Saccharomyces cerevisiae S288C: one gene and its partners. The gene in region 4 interacts genetically with the main gene of each other region. Each region holds a gene or a part of one and is shown on either strand. Other genes may lie near its edges. The genes, in order: PUS1, TAN1, ZRC1 and PUS4.

Evidence for each region.
Region 1: mutations in PUS4 (region 4) and PUS1 together harm fitness more than expected from each alone (negative genetic interaction), as found in Saccharomyces cerevisiae (2 studies listed by BioGRID).
Region 2: mutations in PUS4 (region 4) and TAN1 together harm fitness more than expected from each alone (negative genetic interaction), as found in Saccharomyces cerevisiae (3 studies listed by BioGRID).
Region 3: mutations in PUS4 (region 4) and ZRC1 together harm fitness more than expected from each alone (negative genetic interaction), as found in Saccharomyces cerevisiae (2 studies listed by BioGRID).

What each region holds. Positions count from the first base shown.
Region 1 is NC_001148.4:150,397-154,690, reverse strand, and holds PUS1 (pseudouridine synthase PUS1), read left to right. Parts: upstream 1-1,541; coding exon 1,542-3,176; downstream 3,177-4,294. Other genes in the region: signal recognition particle subunit SRP72, read left to right, coding at 1-401; ribosome biosynthesis protein NIP7, read right to left, coding at 651-1,196; U2 snRNP complex subunit LEA1, read right to left, coding at 3,361-4,077. UniProt on the Saccharomyces cerevisiae protein: Formation of pseudouridine at positions 27 and 28 in the anticodon stem and loop of transfer RNAs; at positions 34 and 36 of intron-containing precursor tRNA(Ile) and at position 35 in the intron-containing tRNA(Tyr).
Region 2 is NC_001139.9:60,298-68,003, forward strand, and holds TAN1 (putative tRNA acetyltransferase), read left to right. Parts: upstream 1-1,777; coding exon 1,778-1,834; intron 1,835-1,892; coding exon 1,893-2,705; downstream 2,706-7,706. Other genes in the region: Rab GTPase-binding exocyst subunit SEC15, read left to right, coding at 1-1,557; chaperone EMC4, read right to left, coding at 2,751-3,323; YGL230C (uncharacterized protein), read right to left, coding at 3,475-3,918; SAP4 (Sap4p), read right to left, coding at 4,206-6,662; SHE10 (She10p), read left to right, coding at 7,301-7,706. UniProt on the Saccharomyces cerevisiae protein: Probable tRNA acetyltransferase required for the formation of the modified nucleoside N(4)-acetylcytidine in serine and leucine tRNAs. Binds RNA.
Region 3 is NC_001145.3:751,690-759,639, reverse strand, and holds ZRC1 (Zn(2+) transporter ZRC1), read left to right. Parts: upstream 1-3,473; coding exon 3,474-4,802; downstream 4,803-7,950. Other genes in the region: COA6 (Coa6p), read left to right, coding at 809-1,123; YMR244W (uncharacterized protein), read right to left, coding at 1,323-2,390; YMR242W-A (uncharacterized protein), read right to left, coding at 5,254-5,343; 60S ribosomal protein eL20 RPL20A, read left to right, coding at 5,420-5,420, 5,898-6,415; YHM2 (Yhm2p), read right to left, coding at 6,735-7,679. UniProt on the Saccharomyces cerevisiae protein: Vacuolar transporter that regulates zinc homeostasis by mediating zinc transport and storage into the vacuole.
Region 4 is NC_001146.8:81,213-89,018, forward strand, and holds PUS4 (pseudouridine synthase PUS4), read left to right. Parts: upstream 1-1,593; coding exon 1,594-2,805; downstream 2,806-7,806. Other genes in the region: Rab GTPase-activating protein MSB3, read left to right, coding at 1-1,329; MID1 (Mid1p), read right to left, coding at 2,957-4,603; RFC3 (replication factor C subunit 3), read left to right, coding at 5,006-6,028; PCL1 (Pcl1p), read left to right, coding at 6,685-7,524. UniProt on the Saccharomyces cerevisiae protein: Responsible for synthesis of pseudouridine from uracil-55 in the psi GC loop of transfer RNAs. Also catalyzes pseudouridylation of mRNAs with the consensus sequence 5'-GGUUCRA-3'.

The DNA of each region.
Region 1 (4,294 bases), on a different chromosome or scaffold from region 4:
CTTTGGATATAGCACAAGGTATAGATCTAGTGAGAGATATTGATATTGATAAATTAATTCAACTTGGTGTGAAACCCTTAGAATCGTCAGCAAAGAGAAGTAAAAACACCGCAGTTAGCAAAGTTCAAAAGAGAAAAGTTTTAGAGCTAAAGAAGAAAAGAAAGATTAAACGCCTCGAAAAATTTTTACAAGGTCGCGACACCTCCAAATTACCTGATCCTGAAAGGTGGCTGCCATTAAGAGACAGGTCTACTTATAGGCCAAAGAAAAAACAACAAGGTGCAAAACAAACTCAAGGTGGTGCTATGAACAAAAAATCAGAACAGGCCCTTGACATATCAAAGAAAGGGAAGCCCACTGTTAATAAAAAGCCTAAGAACAAGAAGAAGGGCCGTAAATAGAGCGTATAAAGATTTTTGTCATTAGTAATCCTCAAATGTTGTCAAGTTATGTAATATTGTATATGAAATGGAACTCGACTAATTCAAAAGAAAGGTCATCGAGGGGTTAGGCTCCCCATTTTATCGAACAACTCTTTCCTTTTAAGCGCTAATTATATGATTCTTTATTATACAGAAAAAAATACATTGTGAGAGATAACGCAAGCTGTAAGTGAAATGTACACGGGAATTCATCATCAGTCCTTCCCACTAAGTAAACAAGGTGTCTTCATCTCTCAAATACTCACCAATATCTGCTTGTCTGAAAGCAACTATACCAGTGGGTTGCATGTTTCTTGACTCAGAAGTACTTTTCGCACTGACACCGAACCCTAATGGCACATCATTCATTGCAAACACAATAACACCGGCGTGTTCTGGTATATCATCAGACATTTTACCCACATGTGCCTTTAACACATGATTACCGTATAAGAATGGCATCTCCCCATTAGGTTTAATCCATATCTTATATTTGGCATGCTTAGCCAATACTGTCAAAGAAGTAATATGTAACCTGAATTTTCCAGTTTTCGTGAATTTACCTAAACAAATACCCAGAGACATCAAGTTAGGTCTTGCTACACTAGTAGCCAATTTTGCAACATGATCGGGTACGTAATATACTCTATCCTTTTGTAATCTGAAGACATGAGGAAGTTCTTTATTATCCACTAAAAAAGAAATATTTCTACCAATATAGCCGGCGAGTTTTTCGAAAACAACCTTGGTCTCTTCTTCTGTTAGCTGTCTCATTATTGCACCTAACTATAGTTTCCCTCAATGGTTCTACTACTCGGAAATCTAGAATACGATCCAATCACTAAACCGTCAATTACCTCAATAATACATTGCTTACTTTAGTTCTAAGCTCATCGCATATTTCAAAAATTTTCATTACCGTACAGAGATATATTATTTTGATGCGGGTAACTATTAGCCGCTGAAATAATATTTTCTTTTTTTTTTTTTCTTTTGGCTTTGAAATTTTTCACTTTTAGTCATCGCTATAGTTCGAGAAATTTGAAATACAAGAAGTACTAAAAAAATAATAAAGGACAATAAAGTGCTAGTAAATAACAATTATAAGTGATATCAAGGATGTCTGAAGAGAATTTGAGGCCTGCCTATGACGATCAAGTTAATGAGGATGTCTACAAGAGAGGCGCTCAGAGCAAATTGACCAAAGCTCGTAAGGCAGACTTCGACGATGAAAAGGACAAAAAAAAGGATAATGACAAACACATAGATAAAAGACCAAAAAGCGGTCCTCGTTTGGATGAAAATGGCAATCCACTTCCCAAGGAGCCTCGTCTCCCAAAGAGAAAGGTGGCTGTTATGGTTGGTTACTGTGGTACTGGCTACCATGGTATGCAATATAATCCACCAAATCCAACCATCGAGTCTGCCCTATTCAAAGCATTTGTTGAAGCAGGTGCTATTTCCAAGGACAACTCCAACGATTTGAAAAAGAATGGATTCATGAGAGCTGCAAGAACTGATAAGGGTGTCCATGCTGGAGGTAATTTAATATCATTGAAAATGATTATTGAAGATCCTGATATCAAGCAGAAGATCAACGAAAAGTTACCGGAAGGGATAAGGGTATGGGATATCGAGCGTGTGAACAAGGCGTTTGATTGTAGAAAAATGTGCAGTTCACGTTGGTACGAATACTTATTACCAACTTATTCACTCATTGGCCCCAAACCTGGTTCTATACTTTATAGAGACATCGAAGAAAGTAAAACAGAATTACCTGGTGTATTAGATGAAGATTTGGAATCCAAAGAATTTTGGGAAGAGTTTAAAAAAGATGCGAATGAAAAATTTTCAACAGAAGAAATCGAAGCTATATTAGCATATGTTCCGCCCGCAAGAGATGAATTTGATATAAATGAAGAACTATACCAGAAGGTAAAAAAGTACAAGCAATTAGAAAATGCTCACCGTAGAAGATATCGTATATCCGCGGCAAAACTGGCCAAATTCCGTGCTTCTACAAGTCAATACCTTGGCGCTCATAACTTCCATAATTTTACATTAGGCAAGGACTTCAAAGAACCAAGTGCCATTCGATTTATGAAAGATATAAAAGTATCTGATCCATTTGTTATTGGCGATGCCCAAACAGAATGGATTTCCATCAAGATTCACGGCCAGTCTTTCATGCTACATCAAATTCGTAAGATGGTATCAATGGCAACCTTAATTACCCGTTGTGGTTGCCCCGTCGAACGCATTAGTCAGGCTTACGGACAGCAGAAGATTAATATTCCGAAGGCACCTGCATTAGGATTATTGTTAGAAGCTCCAGTATTTGAAGGTTATAATAAAAGACTAGAACAGTTTGGTTACAAGGCGATCGATTTTTCCAAATATCAAGACGAAGTGGATAAGTTCAAAATGAAGCATATCTACGATAAGATCTACAAGGAAGAGGTGGACGAAAATGTTTTTAATGCGTTCTTTAGTTATATTGATAGTTTCAACAAGGTTACTGGAGCACAGGGAGAAGAAACTGCCGATAAATCGGGACCTGCTGTGCAAAAGAGTATCTTCGAATTCTTGACAGCTAAGGGTATCCCAGGTCTTACTGATGCGCCCGAGAGCAATAAGAAGATTAAGCAAAGAAAAAGAATGGAAGAGGAGGAAGCTGCTAGTAAAAAGGCTGAAATATCCAGCACCACTCAGAGCAACGAACCTGAAGTACAACCGGAAGCGGCAGCTAATTAGGTTGCCCTTTCCTTCTTTCTTACCAACTTTAATTTCTAAGGCATTGACATTGAAATTGACATTGTCCTCTAATGTTTATAGAGCACCATTATTTGTTTTCGTTTTATATATTATTATATAATGGCACAGAATAATTTATAATTCTTTTTTTTTAAGTCATTGAACAGTCGCACTAACCAAAAGATTAAACACCACCAGAGAGTAGTTTTTCCAGCCTGGCAATCTCTTCTAAAGAAGTAGCTTCTGCTAACTGCTTTTTCAATTCATTTCTTCTCTCTACTGTCATCTTACTCACCACCAAATTCATGATCTCCATCGTTTTATCTCTGGATCCATTATCTCTTATTGCAGTATTTACTGGGCCCAACGTATCGCCGTCCGCCTGCCTTGGAAAGCTCATTGCGCTCTTTCTTTCCTCAGCTGTTACGTTTTGAAAGTCTAAAGTCTCTAAATGCGGTACTAATCGAAGTACATGTTCTCTATAATTGGCTAAATGACATACTTGATTCCCTATTAAAGTTAGATTCTTCAACGTCCTGGGCGCTCTACGCAACCTTTGAAGATCTTCAAACCTTCTTATGCTGTTATTCGATAATGTAAGGTTCTGTACATTCATAGGCAATAGGCGACCGTCTACTTCAACGATATTGTTTCGGCCCAACAGTAATGTATGTATATCGTCTCTTCTTGATAGATCTGGAATCATGATAAGGTCATTGTTTGTCAAATCCAAGATGTGCGTAGGTTTGGTCAAATGCTTTAAGCTGGATGGCATGGATTCTGAATCCGTTTCTAGCTGCAGGTCTCTTAAAATAACACATTTATCCACGTTATACTTGCCATTAAAATGATCAACATAATATTGCGGAGCATCAATAACTATGCTAGGGGTGAACTTCATTATTGCTTATAAAAACTGATATTTTCCAAGTCCTGTAGTTTCACTTCGACCTGTTGAAGGCTTGTTGGATGCAGAGTATGCGATTGGCCTAATATAAGTAAATGTCATCTATGATAAGAAAAAGACTAATAGGGCTTTTTCCTATAATTAACTAGGGTCTGTCGAAAATCAACTTTGAAAACCAGGAACAAAAAAAAGATAGATAAGGTTTATTTCA
Region 2 (7,706 bases), on a different chromosome or scaffold from region 4:
CAGGATTACTTTTTGAAAATTCTCGGCTTCTTATTATATGATATTAATTTGAATAAAGCTACAGAATTTATCCTCGTTGATAATAACTATAATTCTACAAATGAATTTTGGGATGGACTCATGGACAGGTTGTCACCATATTTGAGTTATTTCATAGATGAGAAGCTGAAAACAGAAGAAGACATGATTAAATTGAAAGATTTTCTTTGTATTTATGTTGCCATTTTAGAAAATTTCAAACTGAACATCGAACCTTTATATAAAATTTTGGTTTCAATTTTCGAGAAATTCTGCTCTGTTTCCTTGAGAGCTTTTGACGATGAATTTCAAATCTTGTTAAACGATGATGATTTTATGCCTTTATCCATTAATGACAAGACATTATATGAGAAAGTTTTGAAGATTTGCTGGATGAAGGAGGGCGAACACCTTTCCCTGCCAGATCCAACCAACGGAGAGCCATTTGCTGTGACTTTGCCTTTTTCTCCATTATACCCAATGACGTGTACACTTGCTAAGAAAACATATTCTAAAATAACCGCATTTCTTTCCATATTTTATCGTCATGAGCTACACACTTTGAATAATATTTTGGTCAAAACAATGGACGATATATTTAATGATATCGTCAATAAAAAAATTCGTTCTAAACTTGAAAGTACGTCGAGAGAAGAAATTGCACAAATCTTAGTCAATTTAGATTATTTTATCATAGCAGCAAAAGAATTTAGTAACTTCATGACAAGAGAGAATATTTTACAAAACCCGGATATGGAAATACGGTTATCCTCGATAAAATATCTTGCGGAAAGCAGAAAATTGGCAGAAACAAAGTTAATTGAATTAATCGATTCTAAGATATCAGATATTCTTGAAACTATTGAAATTGACTGGCAAATAACGGAGGTAAGGCAAGACCCGGATATCTCCATCATTGATCTGGCACAATTTTTAGAAATGATGTTTGCCAGCACGCTACAAAATTTACCATACAGCGTCCAAACATTATTGATTTTCCGTGAATTTGACTCCTTGACGAGACAATTCATGGGTCTATTATTGCATGACACACCAAGTACAATTACACATGAAAGCATAATGAATTTTGAAGTTGATGTCAATTATTTAGAGAGCATTATTCCCAGAATTTTCCCCTCTACACCAGGTACTATAGATAGTAATGGATACCAGTCGCCAATGACCCCTTCGACGCCTACATTTCCAAATGCCAACGGTGTTGACGCACCAACATTATTTGAAAATAATATCAAATCGCTAGAAGCTACATTTATGGAGTTGAAGCAGTGTATAGAGTTATTAAAGACTCAGGGAAAAGATTATAATGAACCAGAAATAAGATTAAGAAAATATTCAAGAATTAGACAGGAAGATGCGGCTCTTTTGTTGAGCAAGATTCAGCACTTCGTCTCATCTGTAGAAGGAGCTAACGGCGATGACACTAGCGTAATGGATAGTAGCAGCATATTCAACTCTGAATCAGCGAGTGTCATTGACTCTAATACGAGTAGGATAGCCAAATTTTTTAATAGACGTTAAAAAATTAGATATTATCTCAGTATAATCATTTGTACGTTCATAAGAAAGAATTTCGGACAGTCTTGAGTTTTTTGGTTTTAGCATCGAAAAAGTTCACTTCAAATAAATTTTTTTTTTATCATTGAATAACTCTTTATTTTTCACGTCAACCAAATACATCTCAAAAGTCTACTATATATTGAAAAGTATCATACAATTAGTGTAAATAAGTATCTTAATTATGGGTGAAAAACGTAACCGTAATGGTAAGGATGCAAATTCCCAAAACAGGAAGAAAGTATGTCTGTCTGCACACGAATTAGAGTTCTTTAAGTACTAACGATCAAAAGTAATAGTTTAAAGTATCTTCCGGATTCTTAGACCCTGGTACGTCTGGAATATATGCCACATGTTCTAGAAGACATGAACGTCAAGCAGCCCAAGAGTTGCAGCTTTTATTCGAAGAAAAATTTCAAGAACTCTATGGGGATATCAAAGAAGGAGAAGATGAAAGTGAAAATGACGAAAAGAAAGATCTATCAATTGAAGACCAGATAAAAAAGGAATTACAAGAATTGAAAGGTGAAGAAACAGGCAAAGATTTATCTTCAGGGGAGACAAAGAAGAAAGACCCCTTAGCCTTCATCGACTTGAACTGTGAGTGCGTGACATTTTGTAAAACAAGAAAGCCAATTGTTCCCGAAGAATTTGTGCTAAGTATCATGAAAGACTTAGCGGATCCCAAAAATATGGTTAAACGTACTAGATATGTTCAGAAATTAACACCTATTACGTACTCTTGTAATGCAAAAATGGAGCAATTAATCAAGTTGGCCAATTTGGTTATTGGGCCACACTTTCATGACCCTTCGAATGTTAAAAAAAATTATAAATTTGCTGTAGAAGTGACAAGAAGAAATTTCAATACGATTGAAAGAATGGACATCATTAATCAAGTTGTGAAGCTGGTCAATAAAGAGGGTTCTGAGTTTAATCATACTGTGGACTTGAAGAACTATGATAAATTGATTCTAGTGGAATGTTTTAAGAGCAATATCGGAATGTGTGTAGTCGATGGGGATTATAAAACCAAATATCGTAAATACAACGTTCAACAGCTTTATGAATCGAAATTCCGAAAGGATGAAGATAAGAGTGTAAAACAATAATCATATATGAAACAGAATAGATATTTTATATAAGTATATACGCTCTCAATCGGAAAACCATTGTAATCCATTATTATAATGAGCAATTCGTTCCCAGGGTAGCCAATCACCCTTAGCGTTAGGAATGAGACCCATTGAATTTAGTTTCCTGTATCCAATGTACATTAAGACGCCTTGGAATACGATATACATGAACATAGCAGTTTGCACTTGACTTTGTGTTGCTTTATTACCCAACACTGGTTTGAATGCACTCCTTGTTGAAAATATTGCTTTAATGGGTCCAGAGAGTAGCATGAGGGCAGTCATTATAGGAATGATTTGTAAGGATGTACCGGACATATACGACATAAAAATATTCATCGGAATAGATTTGGCTGGTTGTAACGCAATTTGCCATGCCTTCTGTACTTGTAATACTGTTATTTGGTTTTTTTGTGCCAAAGAAGTAGTTTGAGATGTAGCATCTTGTTGTTTTCTTGTAACATTTCCTTTAGAGGAATTACCTTCAAATCCTGGTGGTGAAGGTAATGTGTTTGAGTTCTGAATGTTGTATTTTTCGATATACTTGGTGTCCAATAGGTGTTTAGCCCATTCGTAAGGCTCCTGTTCACTCATTTCTGTTGCTTATATCGTTTGGCTTTATTTTAACCTTAACTGATATTATGTTCAACTTTTTTTCATTCTATTTATATAGAAAAGAATACGCTTTTTTTATTATTTATGAAAGGAACATGAAAAAACTACGAATGTACAAAAGCAGAGATTGCTAGAGAATACATTGGTCAAGAATTTTCGCATATGGAACGCATTGCTCTTTTAGATGGGCTGTTAAATAATCGTAATTTAGGTTAGTTATTGCCCTTTGCGTCTTCCGTGGAACAATGTTGGTCCAATAAATTATAAAGAAAAGAAATTGGATAGCACAAATAAAAGAGCAAGCGATAATGCAAAACATTAAAAGTCTGTTTTCCATTAGTTTGTAATATTCTGAGGTCATCAATAAAAACCATTTTTTCGTTCTTGTAAAATTGTATCTCTCATCTGTATTGGATTTTTCGACCATTTGAAAATCATCCTTGCTTTTTCCTTTATATTCAGTCGAGGAATCATTTGCTGTATTAGGCTCTGGTTGAGAAACCTCTTCAAGGCCCTTTTTTGGGTAGGCTTTCAATAAATGTAGAACATTGCCGGATAGTGTAATAATTCCCATTATTATGGTTTTGTTTTGCCTGGTTTGGGCCTGACTTTAGTTATATGATTATTTTTGTATAGATAGCTATAAGTTATTGAAAGTAAGCTAGACAATAATTTTTGGTGAATAGTTGGTGAACATTCCTGAACTACAAAGGACTATTGTTATATTTAGTTTACTTCAATTGGCCCCCAATAGGCTTCGTAATTTTTACATGTCACAAAATTAAATAAGGCAAAACGAGAAACAAAATATTAAAAATGTAGGAAAAAAAAAGTCAAAATTGGTTTGACGACTTAACCTAATCAATTTAAGTCGGAATGATGATCAACAATAACATCTTTAATTTTATCATGAATATCTAATTCGGTTAATTGACCCAATTCATCTATGAGCTCGGCAACTTTATCATGCAACTTAACATCCTCCTCGTGAACAATTTCATTCTCATCCATTGTGGATGGATGAGCTGGTTTACTCATATCAGCTTTTTCCAAAAAGTCCTGGTTAGTATTTTCATCGCTTTCGGCACAGAACTGGCCTCCACCAAGAATTATTGAACACATTGTCCTTGTTTCGTTCAAGATGTCACTAGAATATGACATCCAAACTTCATCTTGTAAGAAGGCATATATATCTGGAGCAATTAGATCGGTCTTATAAATTTTGGAATACTTCGCAATTTCTTCGGCAATTAATACTAATTGACCCATATAACCTAAATTTGTTTTCTCTTTTTCGTAAAATTCAAACGAATCCTTGTGGCCTTGTAAAATGAAATCAGAGATAATATGGAAGTCTTTAACAGGTAACTTTTGGTTGCTGCCGTACAAAGGTTTTGGGATAAATCTTGTAGACTTTTTGAAATCAAACAAAGAATAGACCAAAAATGAGTTATAAGAAAAATCCATTCGACCATTGAATATCTGCTGAATAATATCAAATACAATGTTGTGCCAAAAGTTATTCCAAGGATATCTTAAGAATAATTGTAGAAACTTTGGAAAAAACCCAAGGTCATGAAGTTTAATTTTGAATAAATCTCCAATGGTAGGGTTTTTACGTATTTTCAAATTTTGCGTTTCACTGACGTAAGGAATTTCAAAACTCATATCATCATCATCATCAATATTGTCATCAGATGTATCAAAAGTAGAATACAATTCATTATCATGAAACTTTTTTTTAATATTTTTTTTTTGTTTTTGGTTGTCATTACTGTCATTACTATCATTATTATTACATTTATCTTCTAATGTATTGGAAGTAATAGTATTATCATTTATATTTAAATTTTTCATGGCTTTCTCTAGTGAGTTTTGATCAAGAGTGTCCCTGCATTTATCTCTGGTACGTGCTATTTTTTCGCCTCTTTTTGAATTCATCAATCCCATATTTGAACAGTGTAACATTTCCGATATCAATTCTGTAATCTTGACTCTTTCAAAGCCCAAAGGCCTGAATGATTCATGCAATTGGTTTTCTAGTAGGTGATGCTTAACAGATGGAAGAGCTTTTGAAGCAGTGTCATGATCATCGTCATCATCATTTTCAAGTTTAATTAGTAATGCATAAAAATCTTCCATATGCATAGTGAGCTCATATAACAAATGGCCCAAATAGACTGGATCTCTTTGAGAAGGCGGATTGTCTACTATGGTGGTACTTAACAAATCTACTTCGTCATAGTCGGAATTATTCTTCCTGATCAACTCAATTATAATAGATACGGCAACTCCCATTGCATGGCCTCTTTGAAATAAGATTATATTAATAAGTTGGTCGACATATTGCGGAGAGGCAAGCTGTCTTGTCAATCGGTTAGGTCCGATCCACAAAGTATCCAGTTTAAAATTGGTGGAAATGCTGATCAGTGCTTTTAGAAGCTCTCCGCTACTGTTTTGAATACCAGGTGAGTATTTGCTATTTTCCAAGAGATTCAAACACTTAGGTATCAGATCCTGGTGATACAAGAAGTCAATAATGTTCGTAGGTGATTCAACTTGATCAGTCAGCATGATTTTAATGAGAAATTCAACCAAGGGTGAGACTTCAATATGATATAAGAACTTGTCCACAATGTTCGGTTGCGATTTGAAAAATTCCAAATAGCTAGATGTCTGTTCAAACAGAAGAGTTTCGTTAATCTTAAGGAAAACAGCCAAGATAGGACAATTTTCTGCCTCAATATTTTCAAACTGGAAAACCTCGAACAGAGAGGACAAAAATGGGGTATTTTGCACGAGTGCCTCCACTATGGGCGCACTTTTCGAACAAAAAATACTGGAAATAATGTTGACATACAGCATTGGGTCTTCATCGTCCTGATCTTCATATTCACCTGTTTGATGGAATGAATTCTCTAAAAGAAATGGGGTTCTATAACCAGTGCGGTCTATGTCCTTCAGGTAAGCCATCAACATGTCCACTAGGTAGTCCATGTGGCGGACCTGCTGGGAACGGTCGTCATAGAAATATCCCAAGCAAATGAAGTCGACGAGTCTGTCGTTGGCTGCTCCATTCAGTTCATCCAGCAAAGCTGTTTCCAACAAGATCCTATCAATAAATGACTGGTTAAGGTCACTCCTATCCCGAGACTCGGTACCAAATTCGGACTCTGACTCCATAGAAGGCTCATTCTTCTTGTCGTCAGTTGAAGAGGTCTCATTTCCCTCCAAACTACGAAAAATTAGATAGTACTCTTCAAGTATCGAATCAATTCCGGAATGACTCAGCGTCTCTCCAAAGGGCCATAGTGACATATTTTTATTTTATTTTAGCTTTATCGAAAAGCAAGAGAGCAGTAAACTGGACGGTATAGAAGAAAAGAGAACTTAATAACAAAAGACCAGATTGTCTATAACTTTATCTCACACCAAATACCAGGTTGTCCTTTTCCCGCTGGGTGAAGCAACCGTTTCACTTATTCGCACAATCCAATTAGTAGAACACAACACAACACAACACAACACAACACAGCACAACACGCTTACCAAATTATATTTACTACGGCAACCAAAAACCGACAGAATAAAAAACAGCCATCATACGTGGATGAACTCTTGGTTTATTGTCTGTTATTATCCTCGAGAGTTCTTATTTAGGGGATTTAGGGCTGGCATCAATACCCTAACTAAACCCTGAACTGCCCAAGGAACAATTTTCAAAAGTAAGAAATGTCCTATACGTTTCTATGTATAACCCTAAGATAGTCAGGTTTCGGAAATAAGGCGGATTTCTACGTACATGATGATAATCATGTATCAAAGAAAGGATCAACTTGAAGAACAGCCTTAAAGTAAGCGTAATGGGCATTCTGTTTCAACCACCATTTCTGAAGTACTTTATATCTTGGATGCACAAAAGCTGTTACATCTAAACAAGAACGCAGCGTAACGAAATGGGAAAGCTGATAAAGTTAATCACAACTCTGACGGTGTTGGTATCGTTGCTTCAGTACTGTTGCGAATTCAATAGTGGGAGCATATCGTGTGAACGCACGCAAACGCTTTGCCATTATACCAATCCAAGAGTCTGGAACACCTACTTTTCAAGAAATTGTGAATTATACAAAAATAAAGTTAGTCCCGGTTTCGATATAGTGGCGCGTAAATATGACACGGCTGTCAAACCTGTCATCGATGACGCTACAGTAAAAGTGAACAAGGTCGCTATACAGCCTGCATTCAAGGTCATCCATTCACAATGTAAGAAATGGAACTGTGGAAAGTATTACCAATTGGTCCGCTCCCCAATGGTCAAGACTAGACGATTTTTCTTCGCAAAATACAATGCTTTTGTGAAAC
Region 3 (7,950 bases), on a different chromosome or scaffold from region 4:
AGAGGTAGAACAAAAGATGGGCTGTTTTTGTTGGGGTAAAGCGGCGCCGCGAATGTTCTTAATGAGGTGAAAAGAATGCAGAAGAGAAAGATGAGGGCTAAGAGTAGAAAGAACGAGATGAACGAAGGCCGAGAAACACCCAGAATAGAAAAATAGATCGCCGACAATCGAGGGTTCTTAATTGATGGGGACATCGTTGGAGCTTATATAAGTTTGCCGCTACTTGGCGAAGATGGTTGAGCTGGGCGGTTCGGTTTGCGCTTTTGTCTTTCTTGTTACTAAGTATGATTGTTTTTTGTTGGGAAACGGCAAAGACGCGCAGCCAAAAAGCCGAACAGTTTAGTGAGTCTCTTCTTTAAGCGCCCAACACGCTCCATCGTGTTGGATAAAGCGTATGCAACAATTATTTCGGCATCGAACCCGCGGAATAAGCATCGGCTCGGGAGATATTTTTGTTTAGTTGGTATTGTTATCGTGTATAAATTTCTGTCCCTGTGCATTGTGATGTAAATGGCCTATTGTATTGTCAGGTCCCTGTCCGTTCCTTGATGGTATATTGGCACCTGAGCAAATCCAACAAAACCGGGCTCGCCCGCGCGGAAGAAAGTGCGATTGACGATTGTAGCTGAGCTGAACAAAAGAGACGGACATGTGAAACGGTGCTGCGGTGGTAGGTGCTGCTTTGTAGAATGGGGGAGAAGATTCGCCTACATACATACATACATACATACATAGACGGGTACTATTGTAGCGCTGCGCAGGAACATAGATACACGAATATACAGAAAGGAATAGTAGTAATATAGCGATGGGCTTATTTTCATTTGATGGTGGCAAAAAGGAATCACAACCCCCTAATACCCGTTCACAGAGAAAGTTGTGCTGGGAGTCCAGGGACGCATTCTTCCAGTGTTTGGACAAGGCAGACATCTTGGACGCAATGGACCCCAAGAATAGCAAGAGTATAAAGTCGCACTGCAAGGTGGAAAATGAAAAATTTGAGGAGAATTGCGCCCATAGCTGGATCAAGTACTTCAAGGAGAAGAGGGTCATCGACTTTAAGAGAGAGCAGACCATCAAGAGAATCGAGCAGGAAGCTAAACAGAGGGAACGAAATCAGTGAGTTTTTAGTGAGTTATTGGCTCATATTAACATATATATTCCCATAAAACATTTGACAGAAAGGTAATAATTAAAGGATAGTCATGTAGATACAAACGAAAATTTTATGTTTTTTTCTTCGTTTTGCGAAAATTCGCATGAGTGTCTCTGTATATATATATAACAAAAAGATGAAAAAAGGGAAGGTAGAAAAAACCGCGCTAAGTTTTGGCAGTGACGGTGACTGTCTTGTACTTGGTCTCGGTGACCGTTGTGGTAATAACGTCTAGCGGATTCAGTTCTCTCTTGCCTTTAGAAGATGAGCCGCTACCAACATCAAAAACTTCGATGTTGGCCTTGGCGCCGTTTCTGGCGGTGACAACACAAAAGTTTCCACCACCAGCCCCGGAAGAACCACCGCCAGAACTTGTCACTTCGTTGACTCCATTAGAACTTGGGTCAATGGAGCATGGTAGGCCTTCACATTGTGATTCGTCATCACAAGTAATTCTAATACCGAATGAAGGCTTAACGTTCTTGAACGGACATGACGATTCCAGGTAGACGGGGTTCCATCCAATCTTTACAAAAGTGTTCTGGTTGTCGTCCATGTTGGAACCAGCTACAAATGGGGCCCAGTTCCCCTGTGGATTTGCACTACTACCCCACTGGCATGCATCCTCTACGCTTACACCGGGAGCATTTACGTAGTAATGCGACGCGCTGGAGGCCCAGTAGTCTGTACCAGGCACAGCCAGCGTTTGCTTTGACCCAGAGCCGACTAAGGTTGGGATCAGCATAGCTTCGTTGCCCGGAAGCACGGTCTGGCAAAATGCAACGTCACCGCTGTTAGCGTTGTTTTTCGCTATTACGGTTCCCTTCCCATCATAACAATAGTCTTTATCACTGTTTGGCTTTTGCAAGTTACCGTTAGAATCACAGTACAAACCTCCATTTTGACATTTAGGATAAGAGTATGTGGTAGCCGAAGGGTCCCATTGCCCCATTAGTTGACCTGGTTTGCAAGCGTAAGGGCACCATGAACCGTAGGAACATTCTTGGTCAGGGCTCATAGCCCATCCTCCATTAGATCCACCTTTTTGTACTGCGACCATCCCATCGTAGTTAGGGAACGCACACGTTCCTCCACGCTTGGCATGCTCATGATGATCTTGATTTGTATTTTCCGTCATTTGAATACTGGGCGATGGCGCGGCGGTCGCCGTGAACACGCCGACACTCAAAATTGACAGTAAGAAATATGGTGTCAGTAATTTGCAAAGTACCATTTTCTCTCGATATTCGATTGGGACGTTCAGTAATATATATGTTTAGTAGAAGAGTCCTATCTTTATCTCACCTGTTTGAGGGAAAGGAAATGATATGAAAGTAGTTGCATTTTTATAGGTGAAAAAAAGAGAACTAGCTAAAAAGAAATTAAATATCGTTCTCTTATTCACCGATACATCGCCCATGAAATCGACTGAGTAGCTAAGTAAGATGATGTAGAAAAAGAAAAAGAAAAAGAAAAAGAATAAGAAAAAGAATAAGAAAAAGAATAAGAAAAAGAATAAGAAATAAGAAATAAGAAGAAATCAAAAAAAAGAAACAATAATGCTTTGCGGACCCGCTGCTACTAAAGCACTTCCACTTGAAAAAAGAAACTACCGCCGTGGCACTGGTAGGTTTACAGATTCAAAAAAAAAAAAAAAAACTGAGATCTTTACTACATAAAAAGAAAGTTATCTCGGTTTGCAGATCGGTGCAGGTCCCATGAGATAAACTTTTGCGTTGAGTTCTGGACTCTTGATGTATCTCCGGACTACAGTATTCATTCTGCTAAGGGGAAGGCGTCTGGCTAAGTTCAGCCAGACTTCCTTTCTACAACCCTTTTTACTAGCTGAGCCTACTTCCCAGGAAGCAAAAAAAATTCTTGCTACTTTCTCTTCATGACGCAGCGTAGTGAGTGCATTTGTCTTTCCCTACCTACGCCGAAAATATATATGTCATATAACGGAAGTCATAAACGGTGACTCCTTTTTGTTTTTGCTGGTCAACCTTAAAGAAACAAAAACTCTAATATGATTTCTTGGCATAGACCCACACACCCTCGGAAAACCTCATTTTTCAAAAGAAAAAAAATGCCGTTTTTGTTTGCGAAAAATAACGTCCCTCCCTCTGTTTTCCTTCTTCAGATGGCCTTGAAGGTGAGGAATGAGGTGGTTGCTGCATCAGCTAAAACTTTTCATTGCAAAGTCATCAGAGCTCAAAGTTTCATAAAAGAATATAACATTCAAGATACTTTAAAGGGCTTGGCGCAGTAATTTTTCCCTATCGATATCCGTCAGGAATACCAGGAAACTAATAGAGTCATGATCACCGGTAAAGAATTGAGAATCATCTCTCTTTTGACCTTAGACACGGTTTTTTTCCTATTGGAAATTACCATAGGTTATATGTCACATTCATTGGCCTTGATTGCCGATTCATTTCACATGTTGAATGATATCATCTCTCTTTTAGTGGCACTATGGGCTGTGGATGTGGCCAAAAACAGGGGTCCAGACGCTAAATACACTTATGGATGGAAAAGAGCAGAAATTTTGGGTGCTTTAATCAATGCTGTTTTTCTTATTGCCCTGTGTTTCTCTATTATGATTGAAGCTTTACAAAGATTGATTGAACCTCAAGAAATTCAAAACCCAAGGTTGGTTTTATACGTTGGTGTAGCAGGGTTAATTTCTAATGTCGTAGGTTTATTTTTGTTCCACGATCATGGCAGCGATAGTCTGCACTCACACTCTCATGGCTCTGTGGAAAGCGGGAATAACGATTTGGACATAGAATCTAATGCGACTCATTCCCACTCTCATGCATCTCTTCCAAACGATAATTTGGCCATCGATGAAGATGCTATTTCGAGTCCTGGGCCCTCAGGGCAAATTGGTGAAGTGTTGCCACAATCAGTAGTAAACAGATTATCAAACGAAAGCCAACCCTTATTGAACCACGATGATCATGACCACAGCCATGAATCGAAGAAACCAGGTCATCGCTCTTTGAATATGCATGGTGTCTTCTTACATGTACTAGGTGATGCTCTGGGTAATATTGGTGTTATTGCAGCTGCTTTGTTTATTTGGAAAACTGAATATTCTTGGAGATATTACTCGGATCCAATCGTTTCTTTAATCATCACCATTATTATTTTCTCTTCCGCTCTGCCCTTATCACGTAGAGCTTCAAGAATTTTACTACAGGCTACTCCTTCTACAATTTCTGCTGATCAGATTCAAAGAGAGATTTTGGCAGTACCTGGCGTGATAGCGGTCCATGACTTCCACGTCTGGAACTTAACTGAATCAATATATATTGCATCTATCCACGTTCAAATAGACTGTGCACCTGATAAATTCATGAGCTCCGCCAAGCTGATAAGAAAAATATTCCATCAACACGGTATTCATTCTGCAACTGTTCAACCAGAATTTGTTTCTGGAGATGTTAATGAGGATATTCGCAGAAGATTTTCTATCATAGCAGGTGGTTCACCATCTTCGTCTCAAGAAGCCTTTGACAGCCATGGAAACACTGAGCATGGTAGAAAAAAGCGTTCACCTACTGCCTATGGTGCTACTACAGCATCATCTAATTGTATTGTAGATGACGCTGTAAACTGCAATACTTCCAATTGCCTGTAATAAAGATATAAAGGGCTGAAGCCGTCGGTGAATTTATCCCATGGTTCTACAGAGAACATAAACTATATACTATTTACATAATTAATTCTTAGACGTATAGGAAGAAGGCAGTTCTTCCTAACTCAAGAACTGCGTTATTCAATGTATGAATACGCTATCTTTTAGCTATAAATCTCCATTAAAAATTTGTATGCAATATGTGCCACAATCCTTCCTCATCTTTTTTTTGAGACTTTTAACCCAAACATAAAATACCCCCATACATCCAGAATAGCGTTTTTATGTCTCAAATAGTTAACTTTTTTCAGCGCGCGCAGAGCAGGAAACAAATTAAGCTCACTTCGGTGTGGTACCAGCCCAGGAATACCGCTTCTCAATAAGCGTTCCCCTCTAAACCCTGCTGCAATTTACTAAGTGCATTGAGGCAGAATCCAGCGCACATTTGATGCTCTTAGCCCAACTCTAAGCCGGGCGCCTGCTTGTTCCCTCCTGTACCAAAATCTGACCGTGGCAAGGTATCGCCAAATTTCATTTTAAACATTGAGGTTGAAGAATTTGGACAATCATAAGCATCTATATAGTTCCTCAAGTCTTTTAAGGAAAAACAGTGCGGAAAAAGTGAGTAAATACCTACTAAACTATGCCACAAAAATGGAAGAGTAATGCCATCTACATCGCAGAACTAGGCTCGGAGCGATCATGAAATGAATGACCACACTGCGTTTAAAACTTAAGCTACTATCACCACTAAAATAGTTCAACTAGGATTACACTCTAAATATGTCAAGGAAAACAGCGAGTTTGTTACGACCGAAAAGAAATGAACGACGTTAATTGTACCATGCTGAATAATATGATCCCATCCATCCTAGAAATACGATTGCAAAAGAAGTGTATAGGTTCTTTTTGGTTCAATGACGAAACACCTGAGTTAAACTTTCATGGATCTTTCAAATGTCTAAAAGGCTATTACCTGACCTTGCGAATGTGATAATAACTCCTCCATAAAAGCTTCCCTTTTCTCATGTGTCACATGGACTTCATACTAACATTCAAATTTGTGATTTTTCATGAAAATCCTTGTTATTTTATCAGTGGCTCACTTTAAAGAATACCAAGTTATTGGCCGTCGTTTGCCAACTGAATCTGTTCCAGAACCAAAGTTGTTCAGAATGAGAATCTTTGCTTCAAATGAAGTTATTGCCAAGTCTCGTTACTGGTATTTCTTGCAAAAGTTGCACAAGGTTAAGAAGGCTTCTGGTGAAATTGTTTCCATCAACCAAATCAACGAAGCTCATCCAACCAAGGTCAAGAACTTCGGTGTCTGGGTTAGATACGACTCCAGATCTGGTACTCACAATATGTACAAGGAAATCAGAGACGTCTCCAGAGTTGCTGCCGTCGAAACCTTATACCAAGACATGGCTGCCAGACACAGAGCTAGATTTAGATCTATTCACATCTTGAAGGTTGCTGAAATTGAAAAGACTGCTGACGTCAAGAGACAATACGTTAAGCAATTTTTGACCAAGGACTTGAAATTCCCATTGCCTCACAGAGTCCAAAAATCCACCAAGACTTTCTCCTACAAGAGACCTTCCACTTTCTACTGAACTGTGCATATTTGAATTTTAAGATATAAAATATTTTTCTGATACTTTAATAGTTTATTTTTATGTATTATCAATTCTGTAGAATTTAATAATTTCAACATTTCATGAACGGCCAGAGGTAAATGGGTAAGGCTTCCTTTCAAAGAATCTATAGATATTAAGGTTTGCATGAAGTAAATAGCTGATAACCTTAGTACAATTAGAACAAGTTGAGACAAATAGGAAGCACCCCAGCATAAGAGCAATATCCTCAGAAAAAAAAAAAATGACTAAGCTAAATAATTAATTTTTTTAAAAAAAACTTATAGTACAATACACGCTAATGTTTGGCAACTGGGGTTTCACCAGTCATTCTGGCGACAAATTCCTTCGCCATATCACCAAAACCAACCATGAAGACAGTTTGCCAGATACCTAAACCAATTCTTGGGGTGACACCACGGTAAAGACCCTTTAGACCATTTGATTGATAGATGTATTTAAATGTCTTACCAACAGTCAAATTTTTTGGTCTGTTTGGATCTTCCTTCTTAGATTGCATTTCAACTCTAATGACTTCGATTGGTTGATTCCAAGCACTTAAACCACCACCTAAAGCACTGGCACCAATTTTCTCGAACGGATTCAACTTGTCGTCTTTATTGGTTTTCCCGGTGATCTTTCTGATACCATCTTCCACTAGTCTGGACAAACCAAAACGAGAACCCCAGTTGGTCATTTGTCTAATAGCAACAGCATTAACACCCTTATTAATACCTCTAATACCTTCCTTTTTATAAATATTCTTGAACACACTCCAAGAAGATTGTGGGACACCACCTGCGGAGGCAGATTTATGTCTTGTAATTTCCACCGTTTTCATACAGGTACAGAACCCCATGGTTAAGTAGGCTTGAGTGACACCACCCGTGACACCACCTAATATACCTGAGGCAAAGTTGTTCAACCCCAAACTTTTGAAACGATACTCAGCCTCAGCTGACACGAACAGCAACACAGCACCTTTAGTGGAGGCTTCGATCCATGCCCATGGAATCAAACCTTGGTAGTAACCCAAGATACCACCTCTTGACCAGACATGCTTAACAGATTCTAAAAATGTGAAGTTTCTGTTTGCAGCCATTGTGGTCTTAACAACCTCCAAAGGTTGCCCTAATGTAGTCACCTCTGACAAGTTTAAACAGGCACCCAATAGGATATTAGAAAACGAGACTGGCTTTTTTTCTATTACGTTTGCTGCAGCAGTATTAGTGGTAGATGGCATAGCTATAATGACGTCGGGCTTTTCCTAGCTTTATTTGTACAAAAGACTTATATAAAAAGATTGTATCAGCGCTGTTTATATCTCAATGAAAGTAGATATATATACCGTAAGCGAGTTGAAACAATGACTTGAGGTGGGCAGCTTCGGACTTTTTGCAAAATTCAAATCCGAATATCTAGAAGATTGTATTGACAGCGTTTTTTAAATGTCCGTAGATTTCTCGAGATATATAAATGTTACAGAAGGTAAGATCCATGCAAGAGGCTAATGC
Region 4 (7,806 bases):
TTGCTGTTGGAGAAAAGTGGGTTGCCAGTGACCGATGATTCTCCTTCACGATTTCCATCAAAGAGTGAACGGTTAAAAAGGTATGTCAGAAAGGGCATTCCAGCGGAATGGAGAGGAAATGCATGGTGGCATTTCGCTAGAGGGCAAGAGAAGTTAAACAAGAATAAAGGCGTCTATTCACAACTTTTACGAAAGATGAAGCAGATCAAGAAACAAAACCCTAATGAAAAACAAGTTCAAGACTTGGATATTATTGAACGTGACTTGAATAGAACATTTCCGGACAATATACATTTCCAAAGTAGCTTGCATAACAAAGAGGGACCTCCGATTATAAAATCTTTACGCCGGGTGCTTGTTGCGTTCTCTCTCTACAATCCGAAGATTGGCTATTGTCAATCTATGAACTTTCTTGCAGGCTTGCTATTGTTATTTTTAGACGAGGAAAGGGCCTTTTGGATGCTAGTGATTATTACTTCAAGATACCTACCGGGGGTGCATAATATCAATCTAGAAGGTGTTAACATCGACCAAGGGGTACTGATGCTATGTGTCAAAGAATATATTCCAGAAGTTTGGTCGTACATTAAGCCTTCCATTGACCACCACCAAAAAAATAACAAAACTTTTTCTCCGTCAAATAAAAAAGTTTTATTCAATATGCAAAAGAATGAGTTCTTGTACAGACTTCCGCCCATTACTTTGTGCACGGCGAGCTGGTTCATGAGTTGCTTTGTCGGTGTAGTGCCGATAGAGACCACGCTTAGAATATGGGATTGTCTGTTTTACGAGGAATCACATTTTCTATTCAAAGTTTCGTTGGCTGTCTTAAAATTGAGCGAGCATGACCTTTCGAAAATAAAACCTCGTAACAATTCGTTGAATTATTCTTGGGGCTCTAACTTAAACCAGAGAGGCGGATCAATGGGCCAAGAAGATAGCGATATGGAAATTTTTCAGGTCATACAGACATTCCCTAAGACATTATTGAACCCAAATGAGATCTTTGAGAAAATCATTTTCAAAAGGAGATTTAATTTAAATAGGTTAGATCAGGATGAAATAGACAGGTGTCGAAAATTTGTTGCCGCTCAGCGTCTCAAATTTAAGACATATGGTGAACTTCTTGGAAATTCAACATCAGAGGCAGATTTGCCAATTAATGATAATACAGATAATAAAGGTATCCACATAACAAGTGATGCAGTCAATGAAGCATTATCTTCAGAGGTATATGGGTTTAAAAAGAGCCTAGCTGGAGTTCATTGGAATAATAGCATCAAGGAGAAAGTGAAGCAGATGAGGAAGAAAAAAGACAAGGGTGACTAACTTTTGCTTCCTGTTTTTGTTTTTGCATAAACAAATATGTGATAATTAACTAGCATATAAAACATATACATATACACAGACTTATTTTTTTTTGAGCATCTATATTTCAGAGAATTTTGTTTGGCGTTTTTTCTCTGGTATTGATCTGGCAATTTTCCATGATATCTTCTAACAGCGAGGTGAAAAATTTGTTAAAGATGAGCTAAGCTTGTAAATTGTGTAAGTTAGGGCATCACATAAAAAGAAAACTCAATCAAGGGGAACATGAATGGAATATTTGCTATTGAGAAGCCTAGCGGTATTACATCCAATCAGTTTATGCTAAAGTTGCAACATGCTTTAACTAAAAGTCAAGTATTCTCGAAGGAAATTCAAAGGGCAACAGCGGAAAGAAAGCAGCAATATGAAAAACAGACAGGTAAGAAGGCCAGCAAGAGGAAACTTCGTAAAGTCTCAAAGGTAAAGATGGGACACGGAGGCACTTTGGATCCGTTGGCCTCTGGTGTCCTGGTAATTGGGATTGGAGCGGGCACCAAAAAACTTGCAAATTATCTTTCAGGCACCGTTAAAGTCTATGAAAGTGAAGCCCTGTTTGGTGTTTCCACTACTTCAGGAGATGTAGAAGGTGAGATTTTGTCCCAGAACTCCGTTAAACATTTAAATTTCGATGATTTAAAGACTGTGGAGGAAAAATTTGTTGGACAATTAAAGCAGACGCCGCCAATATACGCAGCTTTGAAGATGGATGGCAAACCCCTGCATGAATATGCTCGAGAAGGAAAGCCTTTACCTAGAGCCATTGAGCCCAGACAAGTTACTATTTATGACTTGAAGGTGTTTTCAGACTCTCTTAAACGTGATCATGACTATCCCTTATTGAGGCCCACTACAGAAGAAGCTGTTGATACCGTGAAAAATTTGAATGCAAACATGCTAAACGATGTTTTATACTTTTCAAAAGAATATACAGAGAAGCACGGCCTTGATTCTGAGGTGGCAAAGGTAGAAGAACCATTTCCGCTGAGTGAACAAGAAGAGCAAGAAATCCAAAAAGAAGGAGATTCTTATAGGGCTCCAAAATTGCACTTCAAAGCTAATGTGTCTTCTGGAACATACATAAGGTCCTTAGTGAGCGACATCGGTAAATCTATGAGGAGCTCATGTTATATGGTGAAATTGATACGTTTGCAACAGCAGGACTGGTCTCTTGAAAAAAATAATGTGTTCCAATTAACGGATTTTACTGAAAGAGACGAGAAGGTGTGGAGTAAGGTACTGGAGAAGGTTCTAGACGAGGGAGCAACTGTTGATGTTATAGAAGAGCTAAAGAAAGCAGAAAAGGAAATACCAGCGGACGTGAAGGAATGTATAGTTTCGAGTGATCAACCTGGTGATGAGGCTACGGCTGAAACAATTGAAACTGCTAACGCCGAAGAACATTCTAATACACTAAAAAGAAAAATCGAACAGGTGTAAAAAAGAGGAAGTTCGAACCATTTTTTTTTTTGGTCTTGTGAAGACTACGCTCTCATTTTATCTATTTTTTTATGTGTATATATGATTTAAAAAAAATCGATGTACTTATGCATTTAAATCGTTCAATTTTTTTGTGATAGTTCGGTCTCTTCTACGTATCGTCCAATGGATGAATTACCATCAAGGATGAGTTACCTATATAATTACAGGTTGAGTAGTCAGTGTCCATATAGAAATTGTAACTTTGATAAAGAAGATCTTCCGTAGTAAGATCATTCGGACAGGAAAATTGAAAATCGCTTGGGCAATTTCGTACTAATGTATAGCACATGTCAATACAAGGTAGAATTTCGTAATAGTCATCCAAAGGTTTAATAAATTTATTCAAATAATCATTACGGTTGTGACTTTTATCTCTGTGGATGTAGTATTGGGAAGACGTCGTGGTGCATCTCGGAATTGATACTGCACATACCCAATCACGATAAGCTTCGGCACAATCGTCACAAGTCATGACCGGAGAATATCTTGCGTCTTTGTCTGCGTCACAGGATATTAACTGTAGAGCTTTGCTAAAATTTGCATATAGTGCCTCTGCAATGTGGTCATATGTCTGCGCCATGAGAGTTTTATTACCCACAGAAAATGAGGATGTAGGAACAGAGTAAGCGACGTCACTGCAGAAGTCCAAACCAAAGATCAAAGAGCAGACATCGGTACTTCTTGTGGTAAAATAAACATGTGAAAATAAAATGCCGCCCACACTTGACAACCCATCACCATTACTGATTTTCTTTGTCAGGTACGCTACATAAGTTGTTGAGGCATTCAGTCCTGTCACGTAAAACATTTCTGTCACGCTACCACCATATTCTGTAATTTTTTTTTGAATCGCCAAGTCAGTACGCTCTAAAGGATTTGTACTATTTGACGTAACTGTTGCATTTGATGTATTTTGGGAAGACACTAAATATGGTCCATTTTTCACAGCACAAAGAGATAAATTATAGTTTTGGTTTAGTTGAACAGAATCTTCGTACGAGTAAACATACAGATCGTACAAGGATGGATCATATATTGAATAATTGTGATAAACTTTGGCGTCTGCGGTGACATTCCCCGTTGATAGTAATGCAGAATTCATATCAGTGTCCAGGACCTCTACCCAAGGCCTTACATCCCACTGAAAAACCAAATCGTTCTCAGAGATACTCAGTCTATATTCCCAATTTTCAGAGGCGTCGGAACTGGACAGAGGTTGCTCCGTAGTGGAATTCACTAGCTCAGCGACCACATAAAGATTTGAATACGTGGAGGTAGCGTTCGAGCTAGAAGACTGCACTGGACTGATGGCTAATGCTTGGATGTAGCCATCCTGAAAAACTGCACTTTGACCTATATTTGGGTTCTCTAAAACCGTTTCATTAAAAGAGTAGTATATTGTTAAATCCACATCTGATCTATTCATGGGCATTTGGCATATATTGCCGCTAATAAACATTAACACTTCATACGTGGGAGCAAACCCATAACCGGAGGCTTCTGCGTCAATGGTAAATACAAAACTGTCTTTTTTGCCCGCTGTTATGTTAGATAAGATCGGGGTCCATTCATAAATGCTATCCGAATTGATGATTGTTTGTTGACCAGTAGCCATAACGTTTTTCTCCCATCTATTTAGGCTGGGAAACTTTAAGGAAATATTCTTATTTGCGAAAGGATTGAAGTCTTGGAATAAACCGTGAATAGAAGTGGTAAATAGGCAGTAAACCACGAATAGTGCTTGCCACACTATCATCCTTAGAAATAATACTGCCGCTGGACAGAAATTGTAGTGTTACGGGTTTTACTGCAATTCAGTATGGCAGTTAAGCCAGTCAAGTATTTGAGAAATAGCCAAAACGGTACGTCAGCCGGTCGAAATTATTAGGGAAATTTTCCGCAACCAATGGCTCAGTTTCAGTAACCTGTTCTTGAGAAAACAACACGTTTACTTGTAGAGTTACTATTGCGGTCCGATGGCAGCGAAACTATATCATTATTATATTATGTATGGCTTCTCAATTTTGATCTTTTTTTTTTTTGGTCAGTACGCGATTTTGAAAGAAATGGAAAGAAGCTATAAAGAGCACAGGATAAATATCTTTTCAAAGCTTGAATAATTTTATAAAAGGTGTAGGAACAGGCCCGACATACAAGAATGTCGACAAGTACAGAGAAGAGGAGCAAAGAAAACCTTCCATGGGTTGAAAAATACAGACCCGAAACGTTGGACGAAGTGTACGGACAAAATGAGGTGATCACCACAGTTCGTAAATTTGTAGATGAAGGTAAATTGCCACATCTTCTATTCTATGGGCCTCCAGGTACCGGTAAAACTTCTACAATTGTTGCTTTGGCACGTGAGATATATGGTAAGAATTACTCGAACATGGTTTTGGAGCTGAATGCATCCGATGACAGAGGTATTGATGTGGTGAGGAATCAAATTAAAGACTTTGCCTCTACAAGACAAATCTTCTCTAAAGGGTTCAAGTTAATTATACTGGATGAAGCAGATGCCATGACCAATGCCGCACAAAATGCGTTGAGAAGAGTTATAGAACGGTACACCAAGAATACGCGGTTCTGTGTATTGGCCAATTATGCGCATAAACTTACACCTGCGTTATTGAGTAGGTGCACGAGATTCAGATTTCAGCCCTTGCCCCAAGAGGCCATTGAGCGTCGGATAGCCAACGTCTTGGTGCATGAGAAGCTGAAGTTGTCTCCTAATGCGGAGAAGGCCTTAATAGAACTTTCTAATGGGGATATGAGACGTGTGTTAAACGTTTTGCAGTCTTGCAAAGCTACTTTAGACAATCCCGACGAGGATGAGATCAGTGACGACGTTATCTATGAATGCTGTGGGGCACCCAGACCAAGTGACTTAAAGGCAGTATTGAAGTCGATACTGGAGGACGATTGGGGTACCGCCCACTACACACTTAATAAGGTACGCAGTGCCAAGGGTCTCGCGTTGATCGACCTAATCGAGGGCATAGTGAAGATACTGGAAGACTACGAACTTCAAAATGAGGAAACAAGAGTGCATTTGCTTACCAAACTGGCCGATATAGAGTACTCGATATCCAAGGGTGGCAACGACCAGATTCAGGGCAGCGCGGTCATTGGCGCCATCAAGGCCAGCTTCGAGAACGAAACTGTTAAAGCCAACGTATAATCGACGCAAATATGTATAGATACAATATGTACAGAACAACTGCATTGTGCAATATAACAACATAACACAACGCCCAGAACGAAATAAAAAAAATAAAAGAAATAGATGAAAGCATTTTCAATTTGCATACCGGAAACCGTAAATCAATTGGCGTCTAGCTAACAACTGAGAATGCGAATCGCCAAATTGTTACAGAAAGTAGCATTCCGTTACGTGATCTGTACTTTAACCTCTTGGACGTAAAGAATGGCAGAACTCTGGCTCTAGTGTTCTGCGAATGCCAGATCGGGAAATATTTCCCAAAAGGGCAACAGCGGCACGAACAAGAATTTCGTGTTAAAAATCGCGTCCGGCGCGAAATTTTTCGCGGAGGCATGCGACGCAAAAGCGACTCGAAATGTCGGGAGCCAAATGAGGCTACAAGGCTGTGGGCAGATTTTGGCGTTATTATGGAGAATAAAAGGAATGGTAGCTTCCATATAGCGATAGGAAAACATATATAAGGTCAATAGGCCTACATGGTAATGGGATTGATAAGCTTGTCCTTAACTCTTGTGTCTTGGAATTACTATTGCGTACATCAGCAATCATCCATTGTCAAGAACAAAAACGATAACAAAAACAATCAATTATACAAATAACAGTAAAGTAATAAAATGTGTGAATACAGCAAGGCTCTTCATATTCTGCTCAAGTCGCCAGTAACGGATGACATAATAAAATTCTTAACAGACACAACATTGAGGGTTGTTCCTTCAAGCAACTACCCCACGCCTCCCGGTTCTCCAGGAGAGAAACACCTCACAAGGCTGCCATCGCTAATGACTTTTATCACTAGATTGGTCAGATACACCAACGTCTACACACCCACTCTGCTCACCGCTGCGTGCTATTTGAACAAATTAAAGCGTATTCTGCCCAGGGACGCTACTGGTCTCCCCTCGACCATCCATCGCATTTTCTTGGCCTGTTTGATACTGAGTGCTAAGTTTCACAATGACTCTTCTCCTTTAAACAAGCACTGGGCTAGGTACACCGATGGTCTCTTTACACTAGAGGATATCAACCTTATGGAAAGGCAGTTGTTACAGCTGTTGAACTGGGACCTCAGGGTGAACACAGAAGATTTGATCCTAGATCTGCAGCCTCTATTAGAGCCCATCAAGCAAGACTTGGCAAGATCCAGCGACCAAAGGAAGAGAATTAACATGATGATGTCCATGAACAGAAGGACTTGTGCTGGCACGAGTCCTATCAGATCAAACAACAGATTCAAACTCTACGAAAAACAGAGAAACGTGTCGATAGCATCCGATTTAAGTTCTGCTACTCTAGTCGACAGTTGTAATGATCTAAGAAGGCTAAAAGATGTAACCAACATAGCGAACAACACAGTCGCTAACACGAATTACGTCAGGACGGTAGAGAAATGGAACGACAATGTCAACAGGCAAAGTTGGGATCTGGAACAGATCATGAGTCAACATGGGTTTTAATGTGGTAAACAAGATGGCCCTTACGGGGCTCTTAGTGGGAGAAAGATTTTTAATAGAGCATAATTAACGGATACATAATATATTATAAATTTAAATAATCAAGGATACCTAATAATAATAACAATCAACTGAACACAACATTAAAAATGGTATTTGTTATTGTATGTTAAGCCCTAAGTGATTGTGCCGTTATAACTTCCATTCGGGTGATACCTGCAATATGAGGAAGAAAAAAGATAAATTTTTTCTTCTTAAAGTATAAAAGGCGGACATATTTGATTT